Macaca mulatta: one gene and its partners. The main gene of each other region encodes a partner of the protein of the gene in region 6 in a complex. Links are inferred from orthologs where the notes say so. Each region holds a gene or a part of one and is shown on either strand. Other genes may lie near its edges. The genes, in order: TMEM67, AHI1, B9D2, CEP290, TMEM107, TMEM17 and CC2D2A.

Evidence for each region.
Region 1: TMEM17 (region 6) and TMEM67 share a complex: the UniProt entries of both Homo sapiens proteins name them as parts of the tectonic-like complex. The link is inferred for Macaca mulatta from reciprocal best matches to the Homo sapiens genes TMEM17 and TMEM67.
Region 2: TMEM17 (region 6) and AHI1 share a complex: the UniProt entries of both Homo sapiens proteins name them as parts of the tectonic-like complex. The link is inferred for Macaca mulatta from reciprocal best matches to the Homo sapiens genes TMEM17 and AHI1.
Region 3: TMEM17 (region 6) and B9D2 share a complex: the UniProt entries of both Homo sapiens proteins name them as parts of the tectonic-like complex. The link is inferred for Macaca mulatta from reciprocal best matches to the Homo sapiens genes TMEM17 and B9D2.
Region 4: TMEM17 (region 6) and CEP290 share a complex: the UniProt entries of both Homo sapiens proteins name them as parts of the tectonic-like complex. The link is inferred for Macaca mulatta from reciprocal best matches to the Homo sapiens genes TMEM17 and CEP290.
Region 5: TMEM17 (region 6) and TMEM107 share a complex: the UniProt entries of both Homo sapiens proteins name them as parts of the tectonic-like complex. The link is inferred for Macaca mulatta from reciprocal best matches to the Homo sapiens genes TMEM17 and TMEM107.
Region 7: TMEM17 (region 6) and CC2D2A share a complex: the UniProt entries of both Homo sapiens proteins name them as parts of the tectonic-like complex. The link is inferred for Macaca mulatta from reciprocal best matches to the Homo sapiens genes TMEM17 and CC2D2A.

Annotation. Positions count from the first base shown.
Region 1 is NC_133413.1:104,191,600-104,195,776, forward strand, and holds part of TMEM67 (meckelin), read left to right. Parts: intron 1-795; coding exon 796-895; intron 896-989; coding exon 990-1,129; intron 1,130-3,243; coding exon 3,244-3,384; intron 3,385-4,177. UniProt on the Homo sapiens protein: Required for ciliary structure and function. Part of the tectonic-like complex which is required for tissue-specific ciliogenesis and may regulate ciliary membrane composition.
Region 2 is NC_133409.1:40,532,208-40,536,384, reverse strand, and holds part of AHI1 (jouberin), read left to right. Parts: coding exon 1-63; intron 64-1,775; coding exon 1,776-1,882; intron 1,883-3,417; coding exon 3,418-3,536; intron 3,537-4,177. UniProt on the Homo sapiens protein: Involved in vesicle trafficking and required for ciliogenesis, formation of primary non-motile cilium, and recruitment of RAB8A to the basal body of primary cilium.
Region 3 is NC_133424.1:52,506,702-52,511,477, reverse strand, and holds the start of B9D2 (B9 domain-containing protein 2), read left to right. Parts: upstream 1-1,598; 5' UTR 1,599-1,812; intron 1,813-1,906; exon of another isoform or gene 1,907-1,983; intron 1,984-2,226; 5' UTR 2,227-2,230; coding exon 2,231-2,318; intron 2,319-4,776. UniProt on the Homo sapiens protein: Component of the tectonic-like complex, a complex localized at the transition zone of primary cilia and acting as a barrier that prevents diffusion of transmembrane proteins between the cilia and plasma membranes.
Region 4 is NC_133416.1:95,298,678-95,302,854, reverse strand, and holds part of CEP290 (centrosomal protein of 290 kDa), read left to right. Parts: intron 1-785; coding exon 786-927; intron 928-2,080; coding exon 2,081-2,154; intron 2,155-2,749; coding exon 2,750-2,844; intron 2,845-4,177. UniProt on the Homo sapiens protein: Involved in early and late steps in cilia formation. Its association with CCP110 is required for inhibition of primary cilia formation by CCP110.
Region 5 is NC_133421.1:9,692,036-9,696,915, reverse strand, and holds TMEM107 (transmembrane protein 107), read left to right. Parts: upstream 1-1,729; 5' UTR 1,730-1,821; coding exon 1,822-1,908; intron 1,909-2,084; coding exon 2,085-2,152; intron 2,153-2,235; coding exon of another isoform or gene 2,236-2,253; coding exon 2,254-2,354; intron 2,355-3,191; exon of another isoform or gene 3,192-3,290; intron 3,291-3,457; coding exon 3,458-3,554; intron 3,555-3,799; coding exon 3,800-3,869; 3' UTR 3,870-4,124; downstream 4,125-4,880. UniProt on the Homo sapiens protein: Plays a role in cilia formation and embryonic patterning. Requires for normal Sonic hedgehog (Shh) signaling in the neural tube and acts in combination with GLI2 and GLI3 to pattern ventral and intermediate neuronal cell types.
Region 6 is NC_133418.1:62,220,596-62,225,531, forward strand, and holds the start of TMEM17 (transmembrane protein 17), read left to right. Parts: upstream 1-1,772; 5' UTR 1,773-1,817; coding exon 1,818-1,917; exon of another isoform or gene 1,918-2,209; intron 2,210-2,612; exon of another isoform or gene 2,613-2,701; intron 2,702-4,936. UniProt on the Homo sapiens protein: Transmembrane component of the tectonic-like complex, a complex localized at the transition zone of primary cilia and acting as a barrier that prevents diffusion of transmembrane proteins between the cilia and plasma membranes.
Region 7 is NC_133410.1:14,648,222-14,651,976, forward strand, and holds the end of CC2D2A (coiled-coil and C2 domain-containing protein 2A), read left to right. Parts: intron 1-1,099; coding exon 1,100-1,277; intron 1,278-2,811; coding exon 2,812-3,000; 3' UTR 3,001-3,123; downstream 3,124-3,755. UniProt on the Homo sapiens protein: Component of the tectonic-like complex, a complex localized at the transition zone of primary cilia and acting as a barrier that prevents diffusion of transmembrane proteins between the cilia and plasma membranes.

The DNA of each region.
Region 1 (4,177 bases), on a different chromosome or scaffold from region 6:
CTCCATTAATCAAGGATAAAGTGTTGAGATCTTAAAGCTGTTTTGTCTGTCTCCAGATTCCTTTGCTCCTTTCTTCCTATGACCCCCATTCTCAACTCAGTGTTCTCTATCAATGTAGGTGAAGCTCTTTATATGCCTCTTGATAGTCCTTATCCCATTGTACTGTGAATATTAAGTGTCTCCTTTTTCCACTGGCTGGGAGCTTCTCGAAGTGAAGTATCCCATACTTAGATTTTTAGCCTTTATTTGATCAATAATGCAGCAACTAGAAAGAATGCCTCAGTTTAAACATATTGCTTCTATAAATGAGAAAGATGTGTTTCAACAACGCATTCTGTAAAAATCAGAAATCTTAATAGCAGAAATAGAAAAAACAGACAGAGCATTCAAAAACTTTAGGAAAAACAAGCTATAGTTGAAAATATCTTTACTTATAAAGAAGTCAACTGATCTACAAAACGAGGTGTGCTTCTAGAATCTTTGGGAAAGAGTCAATTATATAAGTCCCTATGTGAGGAGGAAAAATGTCTCCTCTTTTCATATTCCTATTTTAAAGAAATAAATAAAAAGGGAAGGTAAAGTAAAATGTATATGAAAATTCTGTGAATTTGGTGATTCCAGGTTATCTGATGAGCTTCTAATGATCCCCTAGTGGTATTATAACTTCATGTGAATTCACTTATAAACGTATATGTTCTTGTGATAACAGTATGTTTCTTAAAGAGTCAATATTGGTTTTATAAGCAGGCTTAATGCTGGTACTCTTTCAGGTGTTTTATTATATGTCATTCTCAGGCACTACAATTTTTGCATAAGCTCATATCGCAGATTACAATAGATGTATTCTTTATTGATTGGGAGCGACCTAAAGGAAAGGTTCTTAAAGCTGTTGAAGGTAAGTGAAATATACATTTGTACCAAAATTCTTTTGCTATCCTTGCAGAGCAAAGGAGGTAGAATTCTTTTACTCATTTTATTTTTCTGACCAGGTGAGGGTGGTGTACGAAGTGCCACTGTTCCTGTAAGCATATGGAGAACATATTTTGTAGCAAATGAATGGAATGAAATTCAGACTGTGAGAAAAATTAATTCACTATTTCAAGTACTTACTGTCCTCTTCTTTTTGGAGGTATAAACTGTTTTGATGTGATTTATGCAACTTACATGTACCTTATAAATATTAAACTAATATAATTCCAACTAAGTTTTCATGACAGTGGAAGATTTCTCTAAAGGTTGAAATATTGTTGTGAAGCCATTAAAAAGGAGTGACTTTATGTTATATATTTTACCACAATTTTTTTGTTTTAAGTTTACCATCTTAAGCATTTTTGAGTGTAGAGTTTAATAGTGTTAAGTCAGCCAGGCGCAGTGGCTCACGCCTCACTTTGGGAGGCCAAGGCAGGCGGATCACCTGAGGTCGGGAGTTTGAGACCACCCTGGCCACCATGGAGAAACCCTGTCTCTCCCAAAAAATACAAAATTAGCTGGGCATGGTGGCACATGCCTATAATCCCAACTGCTCGGGAGGCCGAGGCAGGAGAAGCGCTTGAACCCGGGAGGCGGAGGTTGCAGTGAGCCAAGATGGCGCCATTGCATTCCAGCCTGGGCAAAAAGAGCGAAACTCCATCTCAAAAAAAAAAGATAGTGTTAAGTACATTCGCATTGTCATGCAAAATCATCATCACCATTCATCTCTAGAACTCTTCATCTTGCAAAACTGAAACTCCATATCCCTTAAACAACCCTGTACCCATTCCCTGCTACACCTAACCCCTGGCAACCACCATTCTATAATACTTCCTGTCTCTGTGTGTTTGACTGCTCTAGGTGTAAGGAGTGGCTTTAAAACCAATAGTTTGTATCAGAAGCCCTCGGGGATCTTTTGTAAAATACCTATGCTCGGGCTCACCCTTAGAGACTATGTTTGATTTAGTAGCTTTGAGGTAACCCCAGGTATCTATATTTTGAAAAAGCTCCCTACTCCCTGATCCGTATTCTCCCCTACATTAGAATCACTATTATAAGTTTGATATTTTTCAACTAATTTTTATTGAAAACTTACTATAGACTATGTTCTGTGCTAAGAGCTGGGGCTAAAATGAACAAGATGCAACATATTTATTATACATTTGCAGTTATTTCATGGATTTAGTTGAAATTATTAAAGAAAGTATTCAGTACTAAGTATAAGACTGAACATGGAAACCGTTTATATGGGAATAGGTTTTCTCAGGAATTATCTGCTTAATTAAGATTGAATATAAATCATTAACTCTTAGGTCTGTCTGTCTTCCCTCTTTTTTCTTCTTTCTTTCCATTCTCTTTCCCCTTTCCCTTCCTTTATTTTTGTAAAACTGGTAGAAGACTGTTTGTATCCTTAGAGCCTTTAAATAATATGAGCAATACTTCCAAAATTCACTTGAAGTAGTATTTTGGTTTTTCTTAAATGAACAGATAAAATTTATATATGTTTATAGTTTACAATACAGTGTTTTGATATATGTATTCATTGTGGAATGGCTAAATCAAGCTAGTTTATCTGTTACCTCACATACTTCTTTTCTTTTTGAAGTTGTGTGTGTGTGTGTGTGTGTCTGTGTGTGTGTGTTTAGGAGTTTCCTCAGCTTTAAAAGATGTTACATGAAAAAGTTTTATAGTCAAGTTAGTTTGGAAAATATTGGATTCAGTATAATCATGTAGTACCTTTTACTGTAAAACTTCTCAGAGCCTTTATTCTACAAGGGTGGGAAGCATGGAGGTAAGTGTAATGGATGGACCAAATGTATTTAAACATAGATTATTTTTTCAAAGAACTTATGCCCTTTAGAAGACATTTTGTAATATACTGTTTTAAAGTATAAAAATGTTTAGTACAGTGCCTGGCACATGTCAAATACTCATGAAATACTAGTTGTTGGTTTCACTCATTGGTAGTTTACTAATGAAAGTTTTATCCTTTGAATTAAATTTGTATTCCTGTCAGTGTGTATGACAATAAGGTTATATTTGACCCTTAGTCATATTGAGAAGAATGCCAAATGAACTAACTAAATATTGTGTAATAAATACTTTGTAGTTAAGATACTGGATAATAATTATTTTTATCTAGATTTTCTACTGTTTATACAAACTTGGATATTTTAGTTTTTCAAGGTGAGTAGGGAGAGGTTTTCTATTTTCAGTCGAGTAGTTTTCTTTATCCATGTCTGTTTAAATTACTACTTTTCCTTTTTACTCCAGGTTGTGGGATTCAAGAACTTGGCATTAATGGACTCATCTTCTAGTCTTTCTAGAAGTCCATCTAGCTATGTAGCTCCTTATAGCCGCATTTTGAGATATGCAGTGTCTGCTGCTCTTTGGCTAGCCATTGGAATTATACAGGTAAGGAATTATAAAGGTAATATTACTTCTAAGTAACATTACTTATTTATAACTCTGCTTACTTACTGATTATCATCAAACATTGACCACATCCTTCTTTCTGTAGCAGAAAGAAGGTGACAAGAGCAATAAGCTAATAGTCAGTTCTTTTTTTTTTTTTTTTTTTGAAACAGTCTTCACTCTGTCGCCCAGGCTGGAGTGCAGTGGCATGATCTTGGTTCACTGCAGCCCCTGCCTCCCAGGTTCAAGCAATTCTCCCACCGCAACCTCCTGAGTAGCTGGGACTGTAGGCGCCCACCACTACATCCAGCTAATTTTTTTGTATTTTTAGTAGAGATGGGGTTTCACCATGTTGGCCAGGCTGGTCTTGAACTCCTGACTTCAGGTGACCCTCCTCCCCTCCCAAAGTGCTGGGATTACAGGTGTGAGCCATCGCACCCAGCCAGTAGTCAAGTCTTACATTGTGTTAGTCACTGTACTAATTAACTACTGTTGATCCATCACTTCTTGGCCTTTAGGCTAAGATCAAGTGTAATTACTGTTGATCCTTGAACAACATGGGGTTAAACTACTTGAACTCATTGACAGTAGAACATACAGTGTTCACAGAATGCAAATTCTGCATCTGTAGAGGGTCAACTTTCTGTATAGATGGGTTCCAGCAGGACTGAATGTGGGACTTGAATATGGGTGGATTTTGGTATACTTGGGGGTTCTGGACTCAATCCCAACATACTAAAGGACAATTGTAATTGCTTTATACCTAATAATGCCTCAATCTTTATAATAGCCC
Region 2 (4,177 bases), on a different chromosome or scaffold from region 6:
TGTTGGTCCGACAGTTTGACGTTCACAAAAGTTTTATCAACTCACTTTGTTTTGATACTGAAGGTATGTCAGAGACTATGAATGAAGACCAGCTATGTGAAGAATTTTTTTTACCAGAATAATAGTTATCGAGGCTTGAGAGGGTTATGTACTGATGATTGTGCATATTTAGGTGTATGCTTGTTTTGCAGGTCATATGATAGATTTGACATTGAAGGAGTTCTGTTTGTAATTTTTAAGTTACTCTTAAACATTTAAAATTGCATAAATATATTTCTTTGGACTGGTGATTATCATTCTTACTTTCTTTCAAGAACCTTAAAATTTGCAAACATATAGAAGGGAAATTTGCAATTATTTAAAGTAAGAATAATATAGTGGCTGGGCGCTGTGGCTCATGCCTGTAATCCCAACACTTTGGGAGGCCAAGATGGGTTGATCACGAGGTCCGGAGATCAAGACCATCCTGGCTAACATGGTGAAACACCATCTCTACTAAAAATACAAAAAATTAGCTGGGTGTGGTGCTGGGTGCCTGTAGTCCCAGCTACTTGGGAGGCTGAGGCAGGAGAATCGCTTTGAACGTGGGAGGTAGAGGTTGCAGTGAGCTGAGATCGCGCTACTGCACTCCAGCCTGGGTGACAGAGTGAGACTCTGTCTCAAAAAAAAGAATAATGTAGTATGTCTTAAAGTTGTAAAACATAAATCATTTTATTATCTGAAAGAATAAAGAAATTTATTATATCTATTAAATAGTCACTTTTTACATAATTTCAGAGACTAGGCATGTAGGCTGTCACTATAATTAATTGGCATGGGATCCAGATCAAAAGGATAATACTGCTGATTTACTCAGTTCAGCTGTAGGGATGTTAATAAATTTAGAACATATTCAGGAAAGAAAGGTATCTGAAAACTAACTCTGTCATAATAGCAGTAGTTCAGATTGTAAAAGAGACATAAAGACTTTCTTCAACTATTTGGCCGTAAGATACCCAAATGTGCAAAAAAAAAAAAAAAAAAGAAATTGGTCCATTTTACTCCAATGGGTAGAGGTGGGCCAAAGCTGTAGAAGGTAGATTTTCTTCGTTCAGAATTACAAAGAATATTTTAATACAGGAAGCAGTTCACCAATTGAATAGCTGTTTTGTAAAATACTGAATTCACAGTTGCTGAACAGCCATCTGTTAGTGGTGGTGGTTGAGATATTCCTGAGTGGGTATGAAGTTGAACTTTCTGAGGTCTGTCAACTTTAAGATGACTTGACTCCAAAGAATTGATGTTAAATTGGAATACCTGTTATTTATTATTTTATTCATTTCCTGATCATTTAATGAGTTTCTACTGGGTCTCAGGTATTATGCTAACACTATGTATTAGAATATAGGTATTTTTCTAGGACTCCAAAACAGATTTATAGGTTAATAAAGTAAGAAATAATGTTACATGTAGGATGGTTCAAATAATTTGGCTTTGGAATATGAGCCATATACACATGTACTGAGAGGCTCATTTCTTTTTGTAGTTAAATTCAGGTAAGTGACAAAGGGAAATAAGTCATCAAAAATAATTTAAAAGAGTAAAGAATTCATTTAAAGATAATTGGGGTTTGTTTGTGAGTTGCATTTTGATTTTTGACTTTTTTAAACTGAAATACCTTTTAATAGCCCTTCAATTCTTTGACTGTTTTACTGGGGTATGGTTTCCCCCAGTCTCCTATTATTTGTTTCTAACTCTGGGACATTCATAAGTGAGTAATCTTGTTTTTTAAATAGGTCATCATATGTATTCAGGAGACTGTACAGGGGTGATTGTTGTTTGGAATACCTATGTCAAGGTTAATGATTTGGAACATTCAGTGCGCCACTGGACTATAAATAAGGTATAAAATCATATTTTATATTATGAGATTTAATTAAAGAAGTTGGAAAACTCCAGTCACATGACTTTAAGATAGAATGTCAGGACATTCTGTTCTCTCATTTCAAAAAATTAACACCTTTCCTTTTTTTTTTTTTTTTTTTTTTTTTTTTTTTGAGACGGAGTCTTGCACTGTCACCCAGGCTGGAGTGCAGTGGCCGGATCTCAGCTCACTGCAAGCTCCTCCTCTCGGGTTCACGCCATTCACGCCATTCTCCTGCCTCAGCCTCCCGAGTAGCTGGGACTACAGGCACCCGCCACTTCGCCTGGCTAGTTTTTTGTATTTTTTAGTAGAGACGGGGTTTCACCGTGTTAGCCAGGATGGTCTCGATCTCCTGACCTCATGATCTGCCCGTCTCGGCCTCCCAAAGTGCTGGGATTACAGGCTTGAGCCACCGCGCCCGGCCAACACTTTTTCTTAGTCAATTATCTATAATTAATTAGCACACCCTCCTGGTGGTTGATTGATGATCTAATGACTTAGTGAAGATTTTTAAAATTTCGGCCAGATGTTAGTTTCACTTTTTTATATCCCATTTGCACTGTGGCATTCAGTAATCCATTGGGTGACATTTATGCTAAAATGAGATGTATGTTATATTACCATCGATAAGTAATAATTTATATTTTCTGTTATATCCTTTTTCCTTGGTCCAATAGCATCTCTAAAAACAGTGTTCTTAGTACTTTGTCAACACTGGTGTCTTTCAGAGTTATGTAATTATTATGAAAGTCTGTCATTTAATCAATAATTATTTCATTTGAAATTTGCTAAATGGAAACAAATGAATAAGTTCTTTCATTGGGGGCTGGAGTGTTTTTAAGACAGCTTGTAAAGCAGTTTTGTTAGTGTACATTTTTTACTTTTTATTTAAAAACACAAATGAATCATTAAACTTGAATTTGTTTTATATAAATTGATCCAGTTTCTGCCTAACATATTATACCTTTTTCTTCCATTTTTCTTAATAATGACAGTAGTTGAAAAAAGACACGCTAAGTGAAAAATAATTTTCATGAATTTTAGTTAAATCCATTGAGTCTGTCAGATCTGTTGAAAAAGCATTTCATCTGTTGTTAGAAATTCTTATATAAATAAGAATAGAAACTTGAAAATTAATAATACATGTGGTTTTGAATTTATAAAAATTGGAAGCTTCTTACATGATTTTAAACAAAAAATTTAATGTTACAAGATGTGTTTGTTGGAAGTGCTTCTTGTTTGGGATTGACTAAATTTTGGGAAAGTGAACATACTACAAAAACACATAATAATTAAATGTGCATTTACACATTGCATAACAACACAAAAATACAGTTCATCAGCTTTATTTTCAACCCTAAACTGAAGTTACTCAGAATCCTTTTGCTAACAATTATAAAGCATCCTATACTGCAGAATTGGAAAAGATATTTTAAGATTAATTTTGTACCCCCAAAAACGTTTAACATTAGATTAACTTTTCATTAGTAGTATTTTTTTTTTTATCATTTTAGGAAATTAAAGAAACTGAGTTTAAGGGAATTCCAGTAAGTTATTTGGAGGTTCATCCCAATGGAAAACGTTTGTTAATTCATACCAAAGACAGTACTTTGAGAATTATGGATCTCCGGATGTAAGTATATTTCAGTATTGACAGGATAAGTACTCACAGAATAAGTAATGAATTAAATTATATTTATAAAATTCGGTAGTGGTTCTCAACTAGGCAGTGTCCCCACACTCACCAAGGAATGTGTGGCAGTATGTGGAGATTTTTTTTTTTATGTTACTTCTAGTATCTAATGAGTAGAGATCAAAAATATTGCTAAGCATCCTACAGCCCATAGGACAGTCTCCCTAAAACAATTATCCAGCCCAAAATGTGAATAGTTCTGAGGCTGAAATGTAGTTAGTTGCTTTTATTTTCACAATTAAAAAAAAAGAAACTTCTACCTTCAACAATGATATTGATTGATACTGATATTATCACTATGATACTGTTACAGCATTAGTATAATATGATATAACAACAAGGCAGGGCTTGTGATTTATACATCCTTGTTTTTTTCCTTTATTTCCAAATAATGGTGAACATAGGGAAATCTTCTTCCTGTAAAAGGTAGAAGCAGCGTTCTGGGAAAATCAGCATGGACTTCTAGTGCATTTTTGTTTGGTGTTAGAGATGGTAATAGTGCCTGCCTGGCACAAAGTATGTGCTGAAATGGTGTTTACTATTTTTTCGTGAGTGCAAAAATATGGAAGACTATGTACCAT
Region 3 (4,776 bases), on a different chromosome or scaffold from region 6:
TAAGATTTCCTGATGGACAAAATGAGGGCTTGAGAAAAGAGAGAGCAAGGCTGATGCCACCACTAGGGGACCAGAGGCCCCAAGAGCTGAAAGGTTAGAGCTGTCTTCCTCACCCACACAGCATCCAGAAAGATATAAAAAACCCATCTCTACTAAAAATACAAAATTAGCTGGGTGTGGTGGTGTGCGCCTGTAGTCCCAGCTACTTGGAAGGCTGAGGCAGGAAAATTGCTTGAACTGGGAGGCAGAGGTTGCAGTAAGCTGAGATCGCGCCACTGCACTCCAGCCTGGGCGACAAGGCGAGGTTCCATCTCAAAAAAAAGAAAAAAAAAAACTAACAAAAATCCAAAATTATAAGGAGGGGGCAACATTTCAGTAGGATAACATTTATATTAAACAATTCACTGGAATATTTCACTAGTTGATATATGCATTATTTTGTTATTTTTGTAGAGATGGGGGTCTCACTATACTCGACCTTCTGGCCTCAACAGCTCTTCCCGCCTCAGCCTTCCAAAGGGCTGGGATTACAGTCATGAGCCTAGCCAAGGGTGGCTTTTAAATACTCGTGTCTATTGGCCTGGCTGGGTGGCTCAGGTCTGTAATCCCGGCAGTATGGGAGAGCAAACTGGGAGGCTAGCTAGAGCCCAGGAGGTCAAGACAAAGGCTGGGCAACACAGCAACACAGCAGGACTCCATCTCTTAAAAAAAAAAAAAAAAAGAATTAGCCAGCCGTGGTGGCGCATGTGTGTGATGCCAGCTACATGGGAGGCTGAGGTAGGAGGATCCCTTGAACCCAGGAGTTCAGAGGCTGCAGTGAGCTGTGATCAAGCCACCGTACTCCAGCCTGGGTTACACAGTGCGACCCTTTTATGGAGTCTTGATGGGACCTGATGACTGGCTTGATGTGGGAAATGATGGCATCTATGATGGCATCCAGGGACATCTCCATTTCTTGATTGAGAAATCAATCAATAGAAAAGAGGATTTTCTGCAAATAAGGGGATCCCAGTTCCTCATTTCTCTTCGCTACCCCAACGGTTCCTTGCTCAGACTCAAGCAGTTTAACAGTGAACTTGGTAGTAGCTTGGTAGAAGTTGGGTAAGTCCAACTTCCTTCCTTGTCCTTGAAAAACCTAGGGGAACTCTAAAACGGAAGCAGAACCCACTCCCCAATTTCTCCACTCTCTGTGAATGAGGAGTGATTTTTTTTGCTTTGTTTTCCAGTTATGAGGTAGGGGATGTACATGAGGTCCTGGAAGGAATTCCTCCTTGGTCATAGTTCAGTCTCTGATTTGTGATCCCGGACCATAGAGAGCTCTTCGGTGGGGTCCTCACGCAGCACGGAGCAGTTACGGATTTGCTTTTTTTGGTAAAGAGGACATCTGGGAGAAACTGCACTCAAACTTCCTCAGCCACACTCAACATGGCAGCTTCCTAGCCACGGCCAAAATGGCGGAACCCTTTGCCGTAGCTGGAGAGACGCTATTTTCCCAAAATGGAGCGAGAGGAGGAAAATGTCCATCACAGTTTCACCCCGCCTCCCGGGGACGGCTAACACCAATCAGTGGCGCGGAGGGCGAGTACAAAGCCAGGGGAGGAGCCTGCTGTTGCTCCAGCAACAACCACGGAACCCAAGGCGAGCGCGGACGCGGAATATCGCGGATTCCATTTCTCGCAGCCGGGAAGGTCCTGGGAAAGGCGCGAGCCAGGCCTGGTAGGCGCCCGCGGAGAAAAAAACGAGTCAACTCAACCCCATGAACTACAACCCCCGTTGCCGCTTTCGCCCCTCCTAACCGTTAAGTGCGCTAAGGTAGGAATAACGCATGCGCTGCGCTTGGAGGCGTGGCTAAGTCGGCCCGGAACTCAACGCATGCGCCTTATAGAGCTTGCTGGGTGAGGGAAGCGGGGTGGCTGACATGACGCGGAAGGCGGGTCTTTTCGCTCGTGGGCGGGGCTTTCCGCTGACCTGAACCCAAAGAAGGTATTTTAGACCTCGCAGAGTTAAATGCTGGTTCCCCCCAGACAAGGGTCCCCCCATTTTTTCCAGGCTTTCATGGGTTGGCAATTAGGATCTGTGGTCAAGACCTCAGCCTCAGGGGTGTGAGGAAGCTAGCTTGGAATCCTAGTACTACCCTTTACTTGCTGGGCCTCAGTTTCCCCTCCTGTCAAATGGAGATAATATACTTACCTCACAGGGTTGTGATTATATTTTTTCCCATCCCAGGGCCATGGCTGAGGTGCACGTGATCGGGCAGATCATGGGGGCCAGCGGTTTCTCGGAAAGTAGCCTGTTCTGCAAGTGGGGCATTCACACAGGTATTCCCCCAGGCCTGGTTAATTTCCACACCAAGACCCCTAGCCTAGAGGCTGCATGCTCCTTCCTCGACCTGTTAACGCAGCGCCTTAACCTCATCTTCCATCAGCTCTCTGTACTCCAGGCTTAGCCCACACCCTGTCCACGTGAGTCTCAAGCTCCCATCTGTTTTTTCGTTTGTGCAGGGGCTACGGACAGGGTCTCTCTCTGTCGCCCAGGCTGGAGTAAGGTGGTGTGATCATAGCTCACTGCAGCCTCGAACTCTTGGGCTCTAGTGATCCTCCCACCTCAGCCTCCTGAGAAGCTGGGCCTACAGGCACGCACCACCAAGTGTGGCTAATTTTTAAACTTTTTGTAGAGACAGGGTCTCGCTATGTTGCCCAGGCTGGTCTCAAACTCCTGGGCTCAAGCAGTCCATCCGCTTCAGCCTCTCAAAGTGCTTGGATTAAAAACATGAGCCACCACATCCCAGGAAAGTAATTTTGTTCATGCTTCCCCAACTGAGGCCCTGTAGAGTCATGGTATAGTGTAATGGTTAGGGCCATGGGCTGCCAGATCTGGATTTAAATACTAACTCTCCCTTCTATTAATTGGAGACCTTTGGACTTGACCTCTCTGAGCCTCAGTTTCCTTGTCTGAAAGTGAAGCTAATAGCAGCCAAGAAGCAGCACAGGTTTGAGGTTAAGAGCACAGACTGCCTGGGTTCAAAACTAGTTATTGCTTGTTAATGCACTCTTGGGCTGATTATGTGACCTTGGGCACTTCTCTTCACCTCGACTTCTCTGTTTGTACAATGAGAGTAATAGAAATATTTACCTGTTGAAGTTGTCATGAGTACTAAACAAATATCAACAGCACTTAGAATAGGAATAGGGCTGGAATATGAAGTGCCCATTCAGTGTTTGCCTGGCTCATACAAGACTTTGATGGGGTCTTGTTTGTAAAGCCTGGGGTATGTGGTTGCCTGGCACAGATAAATGTCCATGAAACAGATGTGGCCATTTGGCATTATCATGTCTTCAGGCCTGAGTCTTAGTCCCTTTTTTTTTTTTTTGAGATGGAGTCTCTCTCTGTTGCCCAGACTGGAGTGCAGTGGCGCAATCTTGGCTCACTTCAAGCTCTACCTCCCAGGTTCACGCCATTCTCCTGCCTCAGGCTCCCATGTAGCTGGGACTATAGGCACCCGCCACCATGCCCGGCTAGTTTTTTTTGTATTTTTAGTAGACAGGATTTCACTGTGTTAGCCAGGATAGTCTCGATCTTCTGATCTCGTGATCCACCTGTCTCGGCCTCCCAAAGTGCTGGGAGTACAGGCGTGAGCCACCGCGCCTGGCCGTTTTTTTTTTTTTGAGACAGAGTCTCACTCTGTCGCCAGGCTGGAGTGCAGTGGCACAATCTCGGCTTACTGCAATCTCTGCCTCCTGGGTTCAAGTGATTCTCCTGCCTCAGCCTCCCGAGTAGCTGGGATTACAGGCGTCCACCACCACACCCAGCTAATTTTTGTATTTTTAGTAGAGATGGTGTTTCATCATGTTGGCCAGGCTGGTCTCGAACTCCTGGCCTTAAGTGATCCGCCCGCCTAGATCTCCCAAAGTGCTGGGAGTACAGGTGTGAGCCACTGCCCCTGGCCTCTGGTCCTTTTTGATTCTACAGGTAAGTGAGGTAGAAGTTGAGATTCCCAGGAAATCAGGACCCTCCAGTTGATGGAAGAGAGGCAGACTCTGGAGTCAGACTTGGTTTCCAGGTTCCACGCCACCACTCACCTTCTCTGTGACCCTGGGCAGATGCCATCCCCTCTTAGAACCTCAGTTTCCTCATCTGTTCTTCATAGGGCTGTTGGGAAATCTTGCTTTTAAGCAGCCTGACTGAGGGCCTGGTGCTTCCCTCACTCAGCCCAGAAGGGAGTAATGACTAACCTGATTTTTATTACTTCAGGGAGTTGCTGGGGGTGTTGACCCAGCCAAGAATACTGAGGCAGTTGGATGAACGGCTTGGGCTCTGCAGTTAGAGCTGAGTCTGAATCCAGTTCCATGATGGGACCTTGGTCTGCTATAGTCACAGCTATGTCACCAGCATGGAAAACAGTGCTTGGCACACAGCAGGTGCTCAATAAATGTTCATGAACTTACCTTTTCAGAGCCTGTGTCTTTACCTGTTAAATGGGGATTATATTAGCTCCCAACTCCTAGGATCACTAATTTGTCCAAGAAACATTTATTGAGCACCTTCTGTATACCAAGAGCTGGGTTTGTGGTCTTGGAGATCCAGCAGTGTGCAAGGTCCCTGTTTTCCTGGGCCATACGGTAGGGGAGACAGAAAATAAATAAGCAGGCCAGGCACGGTGGCTCATGCCTGTAATCCCAGCACTTTGGGAGTCTGAGAAAGGCAGATCACCTGAGGTCAGGAGTTTGAGACCAGCCTGGCTAACATGGTGAAACCCCATTTCTACTAAAAATACAA
Region 4 (4,177 bases), on a different chromosome or scaffold from region 6:
ATCTATCAAAAGCTGTTTGAATGTGTTTAGACAATCATTATTTTCCTTTCTTGTATTATCCTAGCAGATTTTGTTACCAAAGCTATACTGGCCATTTTAACTTAGAATGCAGTCTTTCTATCCATTTCTCTGGAAAAGTTTGGATATTGTAAGCATTATATTTCTTTAGGTATGATGAACCAGTAGAACTGTTTGGCTCAATTATGAAATTTTTTTCTGGAGTCTGTATTTTTTTGAACTGTTGTTTCTTTAATGATTATAAATCTATTCAGATTTTTACAAGCTTTATCCCTCTCCCATCAGATACTATTTTTCTCACCCATGCTTTTGCACAATTTTTTTCCTCTCCCTGTAGTGTTTTTCTGTATACCTCCTATGTATGTCTGTATATGTGAGAAAAGCTTTTTATTTGCCATCTTTATATTTCTAAGAATATCTAGTAATATAGAATTTTATATTCCGAAGAATTTTACTTTGTATTTTCTTATTTTGTGATTGAAAAAAGGTATTAATTTTAAAATGGTCAAATCAGGCTCCATCCTTATTTATAATCTTGGAAAATACCCAAATTCTTTATTTTGAATGGGCCATCTGTTAATTAGGGATACCTTATCTCTTGCCACCACCATTTTAATGGTAAATAAATATGTAGCGAAAACCTTGACTAGACGAAACAGTAAAATAAGATATTCTTGCTTATTTCTAGTACGGTAATTTGAACTGACTTTTAAATCAGTGACATAAATTATTTGCCATGTCTATACTTTTTTTCCTTATACTTTTAGAATGTATGAAACCAAGTTAAAAGAATTGGAAACTGATATTGCCAAAAAAAATCAAAGCATTACTGACCTTAAACAGCTTGTAAAAGAAGCAACAGAGAGAGAACAAAAAGTTAAGAAATACACTGAAGACCTTGAAGAACAGGTAAGTAATGTAATTTTTCTTTACATGATAAAATAATGCATAATATCACAGGATGTTCCTCTATAGATAAAAATGGACTCGATTAAGAAGACCCATCTAACTGAAGGGCACCCCATTCACCTATTTGCTTAAGCCAGAAACTTTGGATCATCAATGACTTCATTCTTTTCATTCTCCACATCTTTTTTTTAATCGTTAAATTATGTCAGCTCTATTTTCAAACTATATCCCAAATCTGACCACTTCTTGGCATCTTGAGACATCACTACCAGTCTTGTCCAGGCTATTGTTTTATACCTGAATAACTACAATAATTTCCAAACTGGTATCTCAGCTTCCACTCTTGCATTATTTCACTCTATTTCTATTTCTGGTCTGTCTCCACACAGTTGCGGGTAACCCTTTTAAAACATAAAGCACATCACAAAGCACAAAGTCCTATCCTCAGAATCTTCCAGTGGTTCTCCATCACCCTAAAATAAAACTTCAAAGTACTTTTCGTATCCCAAAACAATATATGAGGTCTGGTACCCAGTTTTCTTCCCAATCTCATCTTCTACCACTTTTCCCTTCATTTCATTCACAATGTTTTAACCACATTAACCTTCTTTCAGTACTTTAAACAATTCAAACTCATTTAAGCGTTAAGTCCTTACACTTGTTTCCTTTGTTTAGAATACTGTTCACCCAAATATTCTCATAGCTTCCTCCCAGACTTCATGTCTCTGCTGAAATAGAGGCTCCTCAGAGAGACCTTCCTAACCCTAACCCTAACCCTAACCCTATACTACTTGCCATCACTCTTGATCCTCTTACCCTGGATTATTTTTTCTTCATAGCTCTTCCTACCATCTGGCACTATTATTATATCATATCATATTACATACACATTCTTTGTTTCCACACTAAATGAGGACCATGCAAGATGGAACATTACCTATTTTGTTCACTGCTGTAGCCTCTGTGCCTAGGACAATGCCAGTTATGCAGTAGTTACTCAATACTTGTTGAATGAATGGTGAATAGAACATAGAAATTTGCCTATGCATGCTTTTGAAAACCAGATTTTAATATTATGCTTTATTAAAAATGTGTATCTTTATAAATCCTCGTATTTCCAAAGTTATCTTCTAACTTTTCATTGTCCCCAAAGATTAAGATTCTTAAACATGTTCCTGAAGGTGCTGAGACAGAGCAAGGCCTCAGACAGGAGCTTCAAGTTCTTAGGTGCGTCATGTGTTCATATGACTACTTTGTTTCTTTCTTTTAAAAAAAAATTATTAGTTTTTATAATCTTAGAATTGCTACAACTAGAGACAAACATTTTTCAACTTTACTGCCTAACAGGCTTATTAGGTCCTTATTTCTTCCTTCTAATGCTAATCACTCTCTTTTTCATAATACACACTGGAAAAAAGGATAAACCCAACTGTAATATAAGTTTCCAGTTTGTAATTTAGTTTAAACTTTTCTAAGAGCATAGAATGAATTAATCCTTAGCTTCCCAGAGGAAAATACTAATGAAAGAGAACAAGTAATTTTTTACTTTCAGGAGTCTCTGTAGCCCACTTTCATTAGGCTCCTCATAACAAAACCACTCTTGGAAATGACCTCAGGTCAGATATTAAGAAAAATGTGAAGGCTTTTGTATTCCAGGCTTTTTGAGAATGGTGACATTGTAGCATTGAGAGTAAATGTTTACTTTGATAAAGACTAGTTTGTTCTGATTACTGTACATCACTAGTTCATAAGAAATGCCCATATATTTTATGAAGCAATACCTGCCTTCTTTTTTTTTTAACAAATTATCATTGTGTTCTAGATTAGCTAATAGTCAGCTGGATAAAGAGAAAGCAGAATTAATCCATCAGATAGAAGCTAACAAGGACCAAAGTGGAGCTGAAAGCACCATACCTGGTAATATATTTTAAAAAACATGTTAGCTACCCCCAGGTTTTTGAATTTGGGTTTACCTTTTTTTTTTTCTTTTGGCTCAGATTTCTGATCATTGTCTCAGTGTAAAATCAAATTCCTGATAAGTTTTGGATCTCTTGTCTCTCCTCCATGCTATTAATATAAAAATATTCCCATTTTTCTCTTTGTGTTGTTTATACTATAGAGTAGCAAGTACCCAAGTGTTTTTCTCTTTGTTCTCCATCTGGGTGTTACAGATTTAATCACAATGCAGGGCTAAGCAATGAATACTAAATCTGTTGCTTCCAGTTTCTAAGTATAGGCTCTTTCAAGTCCTCTGAACATTTTTAAAAACTGCAAATAAGTAAATACTGCCTACATTTTTTTCCTTTTACAAAGTAAAAAGAAAGTATGTTTCTGCTGCCTTCCATTCCCATTCAAAAGTGATTACTAATCATTCCTCATTCCTACATACACATACACACATATTTTATGTACATATATATCACACATATGCATACATGTGTTTATGTGTTCATATGTATAATAGATCCTCATTATTTGTGGATTCTGTATTTTCTAAATCACCTGCTCACTAAGGCGTGTATGTAATCCCCAAATCAACACTCGCAGCACATTTGCAGACATCCACAGAGCCTTGGAAAGTTTGAATAATCCAACCTACATGTCGCCAGCAGAGGTTCAACAAGGCGGTGCTCAGTATCGTCATTTCAGTTTTCATAGAGAAATGATCAAAGGATGGAGACGGTAGAGGGCAGCACAGCATAGTGCAAGAAGCTGTGGCTCTGGGGCCTGTTGGAAGGGATTTGAATCCCAATTCTGAGGCTTGTTAGTGCTTTAGGCTTAGGAGAGTCACGAATGCTTCTGAACCTTTTCTTATGTAAATAAATAGAATTTACCAGGATGAGTTATCTTTAGGATTTAAGATTATCATGTGTGAGATATGTAGGTGTATGTATGTATATGTATGTCTGTACATATTTCCCCTAGCAGCAGTGGTTTGATATTCACTAATTGGGCTAACTTTATAGACTAAAACTACTGTGGATAGAGAATAGACTTTGTTTGCATATACATATATATATTTTCTTGGCAAGTGACATAAAATTGAACTCATACTATACACATATCTAGCGTATTTGCCTTTAACAGTTTATCCTGGACATCTTGTGAGGTCTGTTCATAAACCTGTCTCATCCATTTAATAATTCTATAGTGTATTATTGCATGTATAAGCATATTGAACCATTTATGTTTTGGTGGATAGTTTGCTTCCAAGTTTCTGCTTTTATAAAATATGATTAATCTCTTGACC
Region 5 (4,880 bases), on a different chromosome or scaffold from region 6:
TTTTTTTCAGTAGAGATGGGGTTTCACCATGTTGGCCAGGCTGGTCTGAAACTCCTGCCCTCAGGTGATCTCTCTGCCTCGGTCTCCCAAAGTGCGGGGATTATATGCGCGAACCACCACTCCCGGTCAATTTCTGGCCAAAGTTTCTAAAATAAAGTTTAAGAATAAATGCCCTATTTTTATAGAATTATAAATGCCCTACTTTTATAGAATTATAATTCTAGCGTTTCCTTTTTTTTTTTTTTTTTTTGAGACGGAGTTGTGCTCTTGTTGCAGAGGCTGGAGTGCAATGGCACGGCTCACTGCAACCTCCACCTCCCGGGTTCAAGCGATTCCACTGCCTTAGTAGCTAATCGAGTAGTAGTAATCGAGTAGCTGGGATTACAGGCACGCGCCACCACATCCGGCTAATTTTGTATTTTTAGTGGAGATGGGGTTTCAGCATGTTGGTCAGGCTTGTCTCGAACTCCTGACCTCAGATGATCCGCCCTCCTGGGCCTCCCAAAGCGCTGGGATTACAGGCGTGAGCCACTGTGCCTGGCCCGCGTATCCCTGTTTGTAGCACCTATTATCTTACGGATTTATTTGTTTGCATGTCTGTTGTTGATCTCCCTGACTAGAATACTATTACTAGGTAATAAATAAATATATAAAAATATTTGTTGAAGGAATGAGAAATGCCTCTTGGGCTTGTACTTTAGTCTGGCTAAAGGCACTGAGACGTCGAGTGGGAAGTAGGAAGATATTGTTCTCCTGGGAAATGGGCCGGGAGTTTCCTTGAGGATGGGACTTGACTGAGCAATTAGAGAAGAACTTTCAGATCTGCAGGGACCTGCGCTGAGGCCCAAAGGTCATGACGTCGCCGGTGATAAGAGCTTCCTGGACTGTAGCTGGGCAATGTCGGAGGTCCAGCACCTCCAAGAGATAAAGAAATCTAAGTTGAGTTTCCCTTCCCGTAGGCTCCAAGCCTCCCAGAGACGCAGGGACTGTACCATTCCCTTCGTCCACTCCCACCTTTCCAGCCACCTTGCTTTGCTCTTATTCCCACGCTAGTTTAAGGACGCTGACCACTTTTTGCACTCTGCAAATCCTTCACCAAACTGAGCAAAGTAGTCTGAGAGAAATCAGTCTTCCTCAAGGAAGGTTCAGGCCTAGGGTCCTCAGACAACCAGGGGCTCTGTGACAATCTGTAACTGCCGAGCAGTCCAGGAACACCGGCCTCTCCACGTTCGGGTCCCTTGTTTCTCAGGCCCAGCTTGGTGGGAAGTTAAAGGCATGAGGAGAGGAGGAAGGGGAGCGGGTGTGAGTCTTCGGCATGGCGGGGACCTCAGCCCGGCGTGGCGGTGGGAGTGATCTCAAGTGATCCACAACTGGGCAGCGTAGCTGGGGCTGGGGGCCGCTCCCGGCGTGGGCAACCGCGGAAGCAGAGGTGTCCCCAGGCTAGGCCAGGGTGGGTTTCCGTTCGTCGGCCCTGCGTGGGCAGATCGGGCGCTGCGGGGCTGTGCCACCCCTCACCCTCTGAGAAACAAAGGGCCTGGCTGCGCACGGGTACCCAGCCATTGGGTTAGAAGCTCCTTCGGGTACCCCTGACCTGAGTTAGCCCTGAAAGACCCACAGCAGATGGAGAATGTACTGCTCTCGCGAGGTTTTCCGAGAACGCGGCAGCACGCCCGCGTACGCGGTTACCAAGGCAACTGGGCGGTGCCTGAGCTGGCGGAAAGGAGGAGTTCGTCTAGATTTGTCCGCTTGCTGGTGGACTTGCGGGAGTCGCAGTCTCTGAACTTCCAGCCTCAGAGACCGCCGCTCTTGTTCCCAAGGGCCATGGGCCGGGTCTCAGGGCTTGTGCCCTCTCGCTTCCTGACGCTCCTGGCGCATCTGGTGGTCGTCATCACTTTATTCTGGTCCCGGGTAAGACCCACGGCTGCCCTCCGTCCGCCCCCATTCCCATCTCGGAGTCGTCCCCGCCCCACCCTGCCCCTCTCCCAGTGTCTTACCCACTTGGGTTTTCTCGTGTTCCGCCGTCCCTAGGCCTGCCCAGCAGCCTGCCCCTTTTTCACTTCTCTTCCTCTCTGCCCTGCTCCCAGGACAGCAACATTCAGGCCTGCCTGCCTCTCAGGTTCACCCCCGAGGAGTATGACAAGCAGGACATTCAGTGAGCTCTTGGGACGGGGTGGCCAGAACGAAGAGGTGGTGGGAGTGGAGGGGTCTTAGAAGAAGTCCAAAGGCCTGGGCCAGTCCACTTCCTCTCTGCAGGCTGGTGGCCGCGCTTTCTGTCACCCTGGGCCTCTTTGCAGTGGAGCTGGCCGGTTTCCTCTCAGGAGTCTCCATGTTCAACAGCACCCAGAGCCTCATCTGTATCCTTTCTGCCTGCCCACCTTTCCCACACGACCCATTTCTATCAGGACTCCCTTCAGCCACCTGACACAATAGTGTCTGCTGTAGCCAGTCTCTCCAGTTCAAAGATCTTCAACCATGTGCTAAATCCTGCTGTTTACTAGGCACTTAAAATTCCGAAATGAGAGTAAAATACAGTTTTTGGCCAGGCACGTTGGCTCACGTCTGTAATCCCAGCACTGTGGGAGGCCCGCGCAGGAGGCAACATAGTTAGACCCCGTGTCTACAAAATAAATAGTAATAATAAAAACTCCACTTTTTTTTTTTTTAACCATGAGGAGGTAGATACACATCTGTAATTCAGTGTGATAAGCAGTGTGCTATGGGAGTGTGTAAAGATAGCACAGGCAGGGTGCGATGGCTCACGCCTGTAATGCCAGCACTTTGGGAGACCGAGGCAGGTGGATCACCTGAGGTCAGGAGTTCAAGACCAGCCTGACCAACATAGTGAAACCCTGTCTGTACTAAAAATACAGAAATTAGTCGGGCGTGGCGGTGCACTCCTGTAATCCCAGCTACTCAGGAGGCTGAGGAAGGAGAATTGCTTGAACCCAGGAGGCAGAGGTTGCAGTGAGCCGAGATCGTGCCACTGCACTCCAGCCTGGGCGACAGAGCAAGACTCTGGCAAAAAACGAAAGATATAAAGCACATTGGGAACTCAGAAGAGGCAACGGAAGCCAGGCACATGGGTCAGAGAATTGTGGACCAGGAGGACCAGGACACTGGAGGCTGATTCCAGCGCATATCAAGTCGCTGTCAGCACTCCTGTGTGGCATAGCAGGAGAGCCTACTCTTACCTCTCATCTGAAGGATCCAGGCTGGCCCCTAGATATGGAGTAGGGTAGCCTGAGATCCCATCTGCGCAGTCACTTCTGGTCTCTCCTCACATGACTGTCCTAAAATTCAGAAGTCGGGGATGCTGACTCTAGCCCTTGCAATATGGTGAGGGAGCAAACGATGAACCTGAATGCAGATGCCAACCCCACCACTGGCCTTTGGCCTTTTCTGACCCCTCACTATCTGTCGATCCAAAGACTTTCCTTAACTGTGGTGCCTTCTCAAGCCATTGGGGCTCACTGTAGTGCATCCGTGGCCCTGTCCTTCTTCATATTCGAGCGTTGGGAGTGCACTACGTATTGGTACATTTTTGTCTTCTGCAGGTGTGGTAGCATCCAATATTCGGGAATGAGGGAGGAAGGCTGACCCTAAACCTGAGGGTTTTTCCCCTACCCAGCCCTTTCCTCTATGTGGGAGATACCAGATCCACTTAACATCCTGTAGTCTTTTGAATTTTCATTCCCTACCCCATGCCACCTGTCCTACACTTTCAGGGGTGGGGTCTCTGGTTTGGAGATTTGGGTATTTATATTGAACGGGTTTCTGAATCTACCACTTGCCTCGGTAGTGCCCTTCCAGCTGTCACTGAAATGACTTTATTCGTCACCGTCTTTGGGCTGAAAAAGAAGCCTTTCTGAGCACCTTCATGACGGGAACCTAAGGACGAAGGCTACAGGGGCAAGGGCCGCTTCGTATTCCTGGAAGAAGGAAGGCATAGGCTTCGGTCCTCCCCTCGGAAACTGCTTCTGCTGGAGGATATGTGTTGGAATAATTACGTCTTGAGTCTGGGATTATCCGCATTGTATTTAGTGGTTTGTAATAAAATATGTTTTGTAGTAAGATTAAGACATATACAGTTTTCAGGGCACAATTGAAATGGCGAAACTACTGAAGAAAAAAAAAGAAGCAACGTTATTTTCTAGTTCTGCAGACCGTAAGATACTTGGTATCGCTTCTATTTTGGTTATTACGGTAGTTGTCTGGCGGAAGGGAGTGGGCGGAGATATGTAAATAGAAAGTGCTTACAGTTAGAACGTCCAGCACGTAAATGATCGGAGCATTCTGGGAAAAAGAAATTTATTCCTTTTCGGCAGCCGAACGAAAAAATTCTTTTAAAAATGTGCAAGCAAATATGGCAATACAACTGGAAGGATGCTAAGTAGTAGGGTTACTTATACCAACGCGTCGTGAACTCACCCTAGCTGTAAACGGAATCTTTTTGACTGAGTGCGGAATGTCGGCTATTTAGAAATATCGTCAGGTGGGATAATCCTTACCTGTTCCTCTTTTGGAGGGCAGATTAGAACATGATGATTGGAGAATGCATGAAACGTGATTAACGTCTCTGCGTAATCAGGACTTGCAACACCCTGATTGCTCCTATCTGATTCTTCCTGACGATCGCTTATGTTTCTGTTATGTTGATTGTTAGTTTAGTTAATGTAGTTATCATGCGGTGCAGGGAATAGTTTTCGTATTTCGCTATTTTGTGATCTCGCCAAATTTACCTGGTTTTGAAAATTGTGAGTTGTATTTGTTGCTTACTGGGACTTAGGAGGTAGGATTGTGCAAATGGACTCCCGTTGTTCTTTGTCGTTTGATACTTTGACGCTTCACCTCTTCTCAGGAAACACTGCACATCAGTAAAA
Region 6 (4,936 bases):
CTGGGTCTTTCATATCCTATGACATGGCAATTCCACTCTCGATACACACTCAACAAAAATGCATGCATATGTTCACCAAGAGGCATCTTTTCACCAAAGCAGCACTATTCATAACAGCTGCAAACTAGAAAATACAGACACTCATCAACAGTAGAATGAGTAAGCTTATTGTGGTATGATCACACAGAGCAAGGCAAAATAATCTACACTCAATGACATGAAGGAATTTCATGAAAGTAATGTTGAAGACAAAGCCAGTTTTTTATTTTTAAAAAGTATTTACAGTACCATGGCTTTTATATAAATATGCAAAACTGAGAAGCAAGATGACAAAGGGAGTGTCACATCTAGAAAGTGGTGCAATAAGATGCACAGCTAGTGCTGCCTTGTGACTCTAAGATCTACCTCCTTGAAAAGTTTGCCTGTGGCAAATGCGGCTCGGCTCCCAAGCCAAGACAAAGTATAATTGGAGTGCCGAGGCTAAAAACCAAAATACCAACGAGACTGGTCGAATGAGGCACCTAAAAATTGTGTACAGCAGGTTAAGGCATGGCTTTTCTGAAGGAACACCACCTAAACCCAAGAGGACAGCTGTTGCAGCAGGAGTTCAAGACCAGCCTGGCAAACGTGGCGAAACCCTGTCTCTACTAAAAACACAATAATTAACCGAGTGTGGTGGCGGGCGCCTGTAATCCCAGCTACTCGGTAGGCTGAGGCAGAAGAATCGCTTGAACCCGGGAGGCGGAGGTTGCAGTGAGCCGAGATTGTGCCATTGCACTCCAGCCTGGGCGATAGAGCAAGACTCTGTCTCGAATAAAAAATATATATATATTTGGATTAGTCACACAATAAATGTTCCGATTTAAAAAAAAAAAAAAAAAAAGGCAAAACTCTCCTTTGCTGTTAGAATTCAGGAAAGGTCAGTTATGAGTGAGGAGGGGGTTTAGTGACTGAAAGGAAATAGGAAGGGGGAGTTTCTGGGAATATTGTAACGTTTCTTGAACAGGGTGCTGATATATTAAGTAATATATCTTAGAGAGAAAGCTAGAAAATACAGAAGTGTTTAAAAATTTTTGAATCACCTACAATCCCACTATCCAGTGATAACTACTGTTAATATTTTTTTCCAGTTTTTTTTGAAGTCGGTGTGCACATGCTCTCTCCTCCCCTCCACTCATACACATAAATTTTGCTAAATTAGGTTTATTCTCATTTAGTTTTATTTCTGCTTTATTTTTACATAAACTATATCATTCAATATTCTTTGCAAGCATTTTATAAGCAGCTGAAACATACTCCATTGAATGCATATGCTCCAGTACATTTAATCAGTTGCCCATTGCTCTATTTTCTTATTAAAAAATAATCAGTCATAGTATCTCTCTCTCACACATACCCCTACACCTCTAGACATTCTTTAAGCTCTGCATTCATTCTCTATTTCCCTCCAGAAAGGTTGTACCGATTTACAGTTTCACTGGCAAGATATGAGGGCTCCTTGTATCGCAGTCCAACCCCAGCTCATTTCTTAGTATAGGTTTGTTTTTAGGATGGTCGGGCTCAAAGCAGAACTAAGAGATCTGCCGTTTTGGACACGGCCGAGGCGCGCAGCTCCCGGGGCCTGGAACGCGCTCTGAGTACGCCGGTCCCTTCAAGGTTGCGCGGGCTCCCGACGAGACCCGGCCCAGCCGGGCACCCCCGCGCGCTCCCGGATCTCGCCGGCCTCGCGCCGGCCGGTTGCCATGAGAACCACGGAGCCTCGGAACGCCCGCAGACTAGCCTGTATCTGAGGGGGCGAGGGATACCGAGGCCCAGGCATGGAGCTGCCGGATCCGGTGCGCCAGCGGCTGGGAAACTTCAGCCGGGCTGTGTTCACTGATTCCAATCGGACCGGTCCGGAGTACAGTGAGGGTCCCGGTGAGTGACCGAGGCCGGCGCAGGGGGTGTGGCCTGCTGAGGGCTTGGCGTGGGTTTTGGAGCGTCCAGAATTTGCCCGTACCTAAAATGGCGATGTCGCCTTCAGTCAGTTTCCCGCAGTGCGGGCCAGAGCTTTGGAGGAGGGGCCGGCCGGGGCGGGGAGCTGAGGCGCTGGCGGCCTCCGGCCGCGGGCTGGGCCTGGTCTGCACGCGCTAACGCCTGGCCTGCTCCGTGCAAGCCCGGCAGCTGAGGTGGGGCCGACCTCTGTGCCAAGCAAGGCCCATCATGGCTCCTGGGAAACCCCAAAAATAAAAAGATAAAAGCAGCCCTTGCTGCACAGGCTAGTCCCCCGCGCACCGCGAGAGCGAAGGCCCAACTTGCTTTTCCTCTGCGGCGCCCGCCCCGGCTTTTCTGTCCAGGATGGCGAGGAACAGCCCAAGCAATCCCCACCTCCCCTGTCCCCACCCGCCGCCCAGGGAGCAAATTTGCCTTTTCCCTTTTCCTAGCAGAACAAGTATGTTCCTAAGCAAGGCCATTTTCTGGCAGAAAAGATTAGGGGGAAAAAAAATTTTTTTTTAAGAGTCCTTTCAAACCACCATCCACTCCCAACTGGCATGTGCCATACTAGCCGGACGTTCAACAAAACTCACCCCTTCCCTGCCTTCTCCTCCTCCTCCCCTATATGTAACTCTTACCATAAGGTAAGAAAATACCATGATGCCTCTGCATCCTTCAACTTGATGACAAGTGATAACGCAGTTTCCTCCAGAACAGGTTCCTCCTCCTACATCATGATGGTAGACAACACACTGTCAACCAAACCCGTGTGGTTTCCATCATTCAAGTCTGCTGGGAAATATAAATCTTTTCCACTGCTTGGTTTTACAGAATTTTTAAAAGGGACAGAAAAGTAAAGGCAGTCCCCAAAGCTGCATTTTGTCGTCTTGATCACTTGCCTATTCCCCAAATGTAGGCCTTTATGATTTAGGATGTACAGAGAAAAATGTGAAAAAATTAGGTTTCACGTTTCTGGTTCCAAGGATGAGGCTTAATGAGCACTAACGTCTGATAATACAAGGTAAAAAGACGTTTTCTGAAAAGGGCCAGATAGTAAGTACTTTAGGCTTTGTAGGCCATATGGTCTCCACGGCAGCCACTGACAATAGTTATTGAATAGGCATGGCTGTGTTCCAATAAAACTTTAAGGATATTGAAATTTGTATTTCGTATGGATTTCACGTATGAAAAAAATATTACTTTTTTAAGCATTTAAAGGTGAAAAAACATTTTTAGCTCATTGACTGTACAAAAACGTGTAGGCAGCTGACCAGTTGTTTACCTATCCCTGATTTATATTGTATGTTTTAATTTAAATTCCATTTATAGAACTCAACTTGAACTTTTGCAAAATTCAGTAAATGTATATCTTATGCTTTTAAGGTTCATTTACATATTAATTTGATTTTCATTTCCATGATTATAAGTTTGATCTGCTGAAATATGGACATAGCATAACCTTTAAGATGTTAACACACAATACTTCTAACATAAAAACCGTTCTTTGCAAAATTTGACTACAGTTTCTTCTCAAAGGTACTGAAATGTTCTGCTTGCCCAATTTATTATTCTTTCCCGTATTTTGTTCTTTGTGGATCAGAAGTAGGTTTGATTATTTGTACTGTAATAACAAATTTATGTAATTACCATGTCCACAGCATTGTGCTGTTGCTATCAGAAAGATCCTAGGCTGGTGAGTTGTCTTCAGATTTAACAGATTTTAAGAATTCATTCATTTATCAGTGGTAATTTAATAAGCAGTTGCAAGCAAAAGTAGATCACAATAATCAGGCATATTTTTGGAGCTAAAAGAAACTATTTTGCTGCGAGAGACCATGACTGTTTCTTATATTTTAAAATTATTAAATGACAGATAAAAACACTCAACTATGGAGAAAAGGAGAAAATAATGTTCTTAAGACATTTATTTTAGGACCTTTAAAATCTTACGTGTAGAACAACTGATTTCAATATATGTGTCCGCTCTTAAGAATTTAGTCAAATTTAGGATGTATTTTGTAGGGTTCAATTTTAAAAATCAAATTCTTAATTTAGGACCCTTCTGTCTTACATAAAAGCAAAAAGTGTTATGGAATCAACCTTAGGTAAATGGAACTCATGTATCACAAATGGCTATACTAGTAATGTCCTTATGACAGTATGCTTACATTAATTCATTCTTATGTGTATTTGATATTCACTGCATATAAAGCAAGATGCTAGATTCTATGAGGGTCTCAAATTAGGGTGGGACATGGTGTGTGCTTGCAGATAAGTAGATAAATAGAAGAGAAGAAGGAAAGGGGACTAATATTTGTTGAGTGCCTACTAAGTGTGCCCAGCACAGTGCTAGGAAGAAATAATTCATATTGGCTCTAATTCTCACAAGCAGCCTGTAAGGAAGTTTTAATTTCACTATTTTACAGATGAAGAAATAGAAGCTCAAAGAACTTAAATAATTTATATAAAGTCTGACATCCAGGGTCACAGAGGTTTGGGGAGCTCGGGTTTGCTTGAACTCTGAAGCCCGTGATCTGTTCAGTACACCAGACTGTTTTTCGGGGAGGGGAATGTGGTTCTTTGCTAGCACTTCTTATTGACAGTTTAGAGTGATAAGTACCTGAAGGGAAAGGTATTTCTGCTGGGGTGGGGGAACTGATGAAGGAAGTATTGATGGAAAAGACGACGCTGAATTGGACTTTAAAGAATGGCTAAGATTAGGGTATGCTGAAAAGAGAGATGTGTCTAATTATATAATCTTGGTAATCCGTTTTTGTATGAGATTAGTTTATATGTGAGAGATTCATTTTTATTTATTTTATGCATTAATTTTATATGCTATTTACATAGAATTCTACAAAGCAGGCAATGATAATTATCTGTTGAATAGGATTTATATTGATATTCTACATTAAATCTGTACTAGTATATGCAAAAAAGTCAGAAGACTGTAATGGCAAAA
Region 7 (3,755 bases), on a different chromosome or scaffold from region 6:
ACTTATCCTGCCTCAAACTGTCCTCTCATCTGTAAAATCAGGACAATATCCCTACCTCATAAGGTTATTAGTGAGATTAAATAAAAATCTACAAAGAGCACTTCGCGCAGTATCTAGTAAATAATGGCTCAATAAATAGTAGCTATTTTCCTTCATTCTATGCTTAAACTTCACACCCTATGAACCCAATACCTGTACTTACCACAAATAAAGTTTCCATGATGTTGGTATTTTAAAGGCAGTTTTAAGGCAATTTAGAAAAAAAATCCATCATCATGAATAGAATTCACTATTCATGATATGAATAAATCACAAGACACTAACAGCCCCACAAATACTTGAGGCTTTCAACATAAGCCCTACTTCTTATGCCTGTGTCTAATTCATCTGTCCGTATATATGCTACCAATGAGTATAGCTGTACAACATTTCAAAAAACATTTCATGGCCACGTGCAGTGGCTCACACCTGTAATCTCAACACTTTGGGAGGCCAAGGCTGGCGGATCGCTTGAGCCCAAGAATTTGAGACCAGCCTGGGCAACACAGCAAGACCTTGTCTCTACCAAAAAAGAAAAAAAATAGCCAGGCATAGTGGCATGCACCTGTGGTCCCAGCTACCAAGGAGGCTGAGGTGGGAGTATCACTTGAGCCCGAGAGTTGAGGCTGCAGTGAGCTGTGATTGTACCACTACACTCCAGCCTGGGCAAGAGAGCAAGATCCTGCCTTAAAAAAAATTAATATTAATAAACTTTTGCTGCATGTATTGAATTTTGCTATCCCCAAGTCATTCAGTACTCCCTCTTCTGTGCTTCTGTGTTACATTTCAAGTATCTGTTATAGCTCTTAGGATACACATACTTTCTATTTATAGGCCTATTTCCCATCTCAACTCATATACAACCCTTAAGGACAGGACTGCATGTTAATTCTGAATCTCCAGGGAGTAGCCATTAGACATTAATTATGCCTGGAGGATCACAACTCCATCAACAAAAATGTAGTTATACAATCATCTGAATCCCCACTACATACTACATATATTTTTTAACAAGGGAAAAGTGAGTCACCAAAAAATGGAGTTTATGTTTTGTGACCAGGATTGAAAAAATACTAAAAGAAAAAATCATGGACTGGAGGCCACGCCATCTGACTCGGTGGAATAGATATTGTACCTCTACTCTGCGTCACTTCTTGCCTCTGTTAGAAAAAAGTCAAGGAGAAGATGTAGAAGATGACCACAGAGCAGAACTGCTAAAGCAGCTGGGAGACTACAGGGTAAGTTACAAATGGATCCTAAACTGACTGTGGATTTCCTTGTTTCAAATTGGAAATTAGCCAATAACAGGTTTCTGGAATCAAAAGACCCACATTGCTCCCAGAAGTACATATTTAAAGCAGCATAAACTAAAAACTGTGATTATAAGTTTTAAACCTCAATAATCACTAAATAGCAAAATACCACTATTTTTCATATAAGTATCCCATGAAAAATACCTTTTATGAAATACATTTACATATCAAATAAAATGAAAACATCTGGCTAAATCATGTTAGACTCAACTGTGCACAAGGATCAAAACACTCTAGAACAGTTTTTTTAAAGGATGTAAGGTTTTACACTGATTGCTTTTCATTGCTAAGAAAGGTGGTTATTAACAGACGATATACCCTCTCTACTGCCTGCTTGTAGTACTGTGTTCACATGCTATAGCTGGATAATAAAACCTAGAAAGAAGGCTTGTAACTAAGACTTAACAGTAAGCCTTATTAGCTAAACAGTGTGAAGGTCAAATTAGATCACTCACTGAGTAAAATTTATCCTTTAACTTATAAGGCAGGTTCTCAGTCAGGATATTTTCAGTTCAAGTGTCAGAAAACTCAAACAGTCTTGAGCAATAGAGAATTCACCAGCTTAAGTAAAGCTTAGAGGGTAGCTATCAGGGTTTTCCCATTCTCCTTCAAGTCCTCCCATTCTGCCCTCCTCCTCCGTATGATGGCATCATCCTAAGACTGGGTTTCCTCATGTTAGCAAATGCTGGAACACTTACAGAATTCACATCTGCGCACATACTACCCAAAGCAGGAGAACGTCATGTGCCATTATTCCTAACAAGTTTCCCGAGATCCCCTCTGAGACTCCCTTTGATCTCTTGCCCATCCCTATGGATCAATCATTGTAGCCAAGGGGACGAAAATTATTGTCGGGCGCCATGGCTCACATCTGTAAACTCAGCACTTTGGGAGGCTGAGGTGGGCGGATCGCTTGAGCCCTGGAGTTCAAGATCAGCCTTGGCAGCATGGCAAAACCCCATTTCTACAAAAAATACAAAAAGTAGCCAGGCATGGCGGCACTTTCCTGCAGTCCCAGCTACTCAGGAGGCTAAAGTGGGGGGACCATCTGAGCCCAGCAGGAGGCCGAGGCTGCAGTGAGCCATGATCACGCCACTGCACTCTAGCATGGATGACAGTGAGACCTGTCTCAAAAAAAAAAAAAAAAAAAGAAAAAAGAAATGTATTTGTTAGTTTAACCTATGTTTCTGGAATTAGAATGGTTACTATGCGTACTAGGTACTTCCAAAAAGAGGGAATACTGATGGGGTGACTAACACCTATATGCTAGCAAGGAAAACAAAATGGGTATTAAGCAACTCTCCATTTTCTGTATTGCTAATAAATAGCTGAGTAGAAAAACACAAGCAAATAACTGAGATCCAGAAGACTTATTATATTAATGGCATACATTTACATAGGAAACAATGTATTAAATCTTCAAACTTCACTAATGACTACAAATGTTTTTTCCCTTCAGTTCTCTGGATTTCCCCTTCACATGCCTTATTCTGAAGTGAAGCCTTTAATTGACGCTGTGTATAGTACTGGAGTACATAATATTGATGTTCCTAATGTTGAATTTGCTTTAGCTGTATACATACACCCATACCCCAAAAATGTTTTGTCTGTTTGGATCTATGTTGCCTCTCTTATACGCAACAGGTAATTTTTTTCACTGTACTTTTTGTATCATGTAAAAACTACACAGGATATGAGAAAATTTTAAATTATATGCATCACATCAGAAGAACATATTATTGGCAAATAATAAAATTATCATGTTTTCAAACTGTGCAAAGTGTTTTATTTAGTAGTCTGCCTCGTCTCTGCTACTTGACCCTGAAATTCAATTGAGACTACCCACAGTAGAGTACATTATGAGCTTCCTGCCTCTATTCGTTTGTACTTACTTACCTTTTGCTTGGGCAAATATTAACAGCAATGGAATGAAAGTGAGAGAAACTTACCAAGTTTTACCTCAAAGCAAGGTAAAGCTTTAAAGAGAGCATCATTAGAGCCTTCAGAATTCCTCTTCCTTTGCCGTGTTTAATTCAAATGTTAGTAGAAATAAAAAGCAGTAATGAGTTATTTATATTCCATCAAATGATTCTTCCTTTATCTTTAGACAACACTAAGACACTTCGCCTGAACTGAATGTTTACCCGTTTTTATTGCTACTCCTCCTCCTCTCTCCAAATAAAACAAATAAATATCTAAGACTGCAAGATTACGTCATCTTCCACAGGTTTGCATGTACAGGTATACCTCGGAGATACTGTGCACTTGGTTCCAGAGCACTGCAATAAAGTGAATATTGCAATAAAATGAGTCACACCAATTTTTTTGGTTTCCCAGTGCAAAGTTATGTTTACACTATATTATAGTGTATTCAGTGTGCAAAAGCATTATCACAAAGATGTA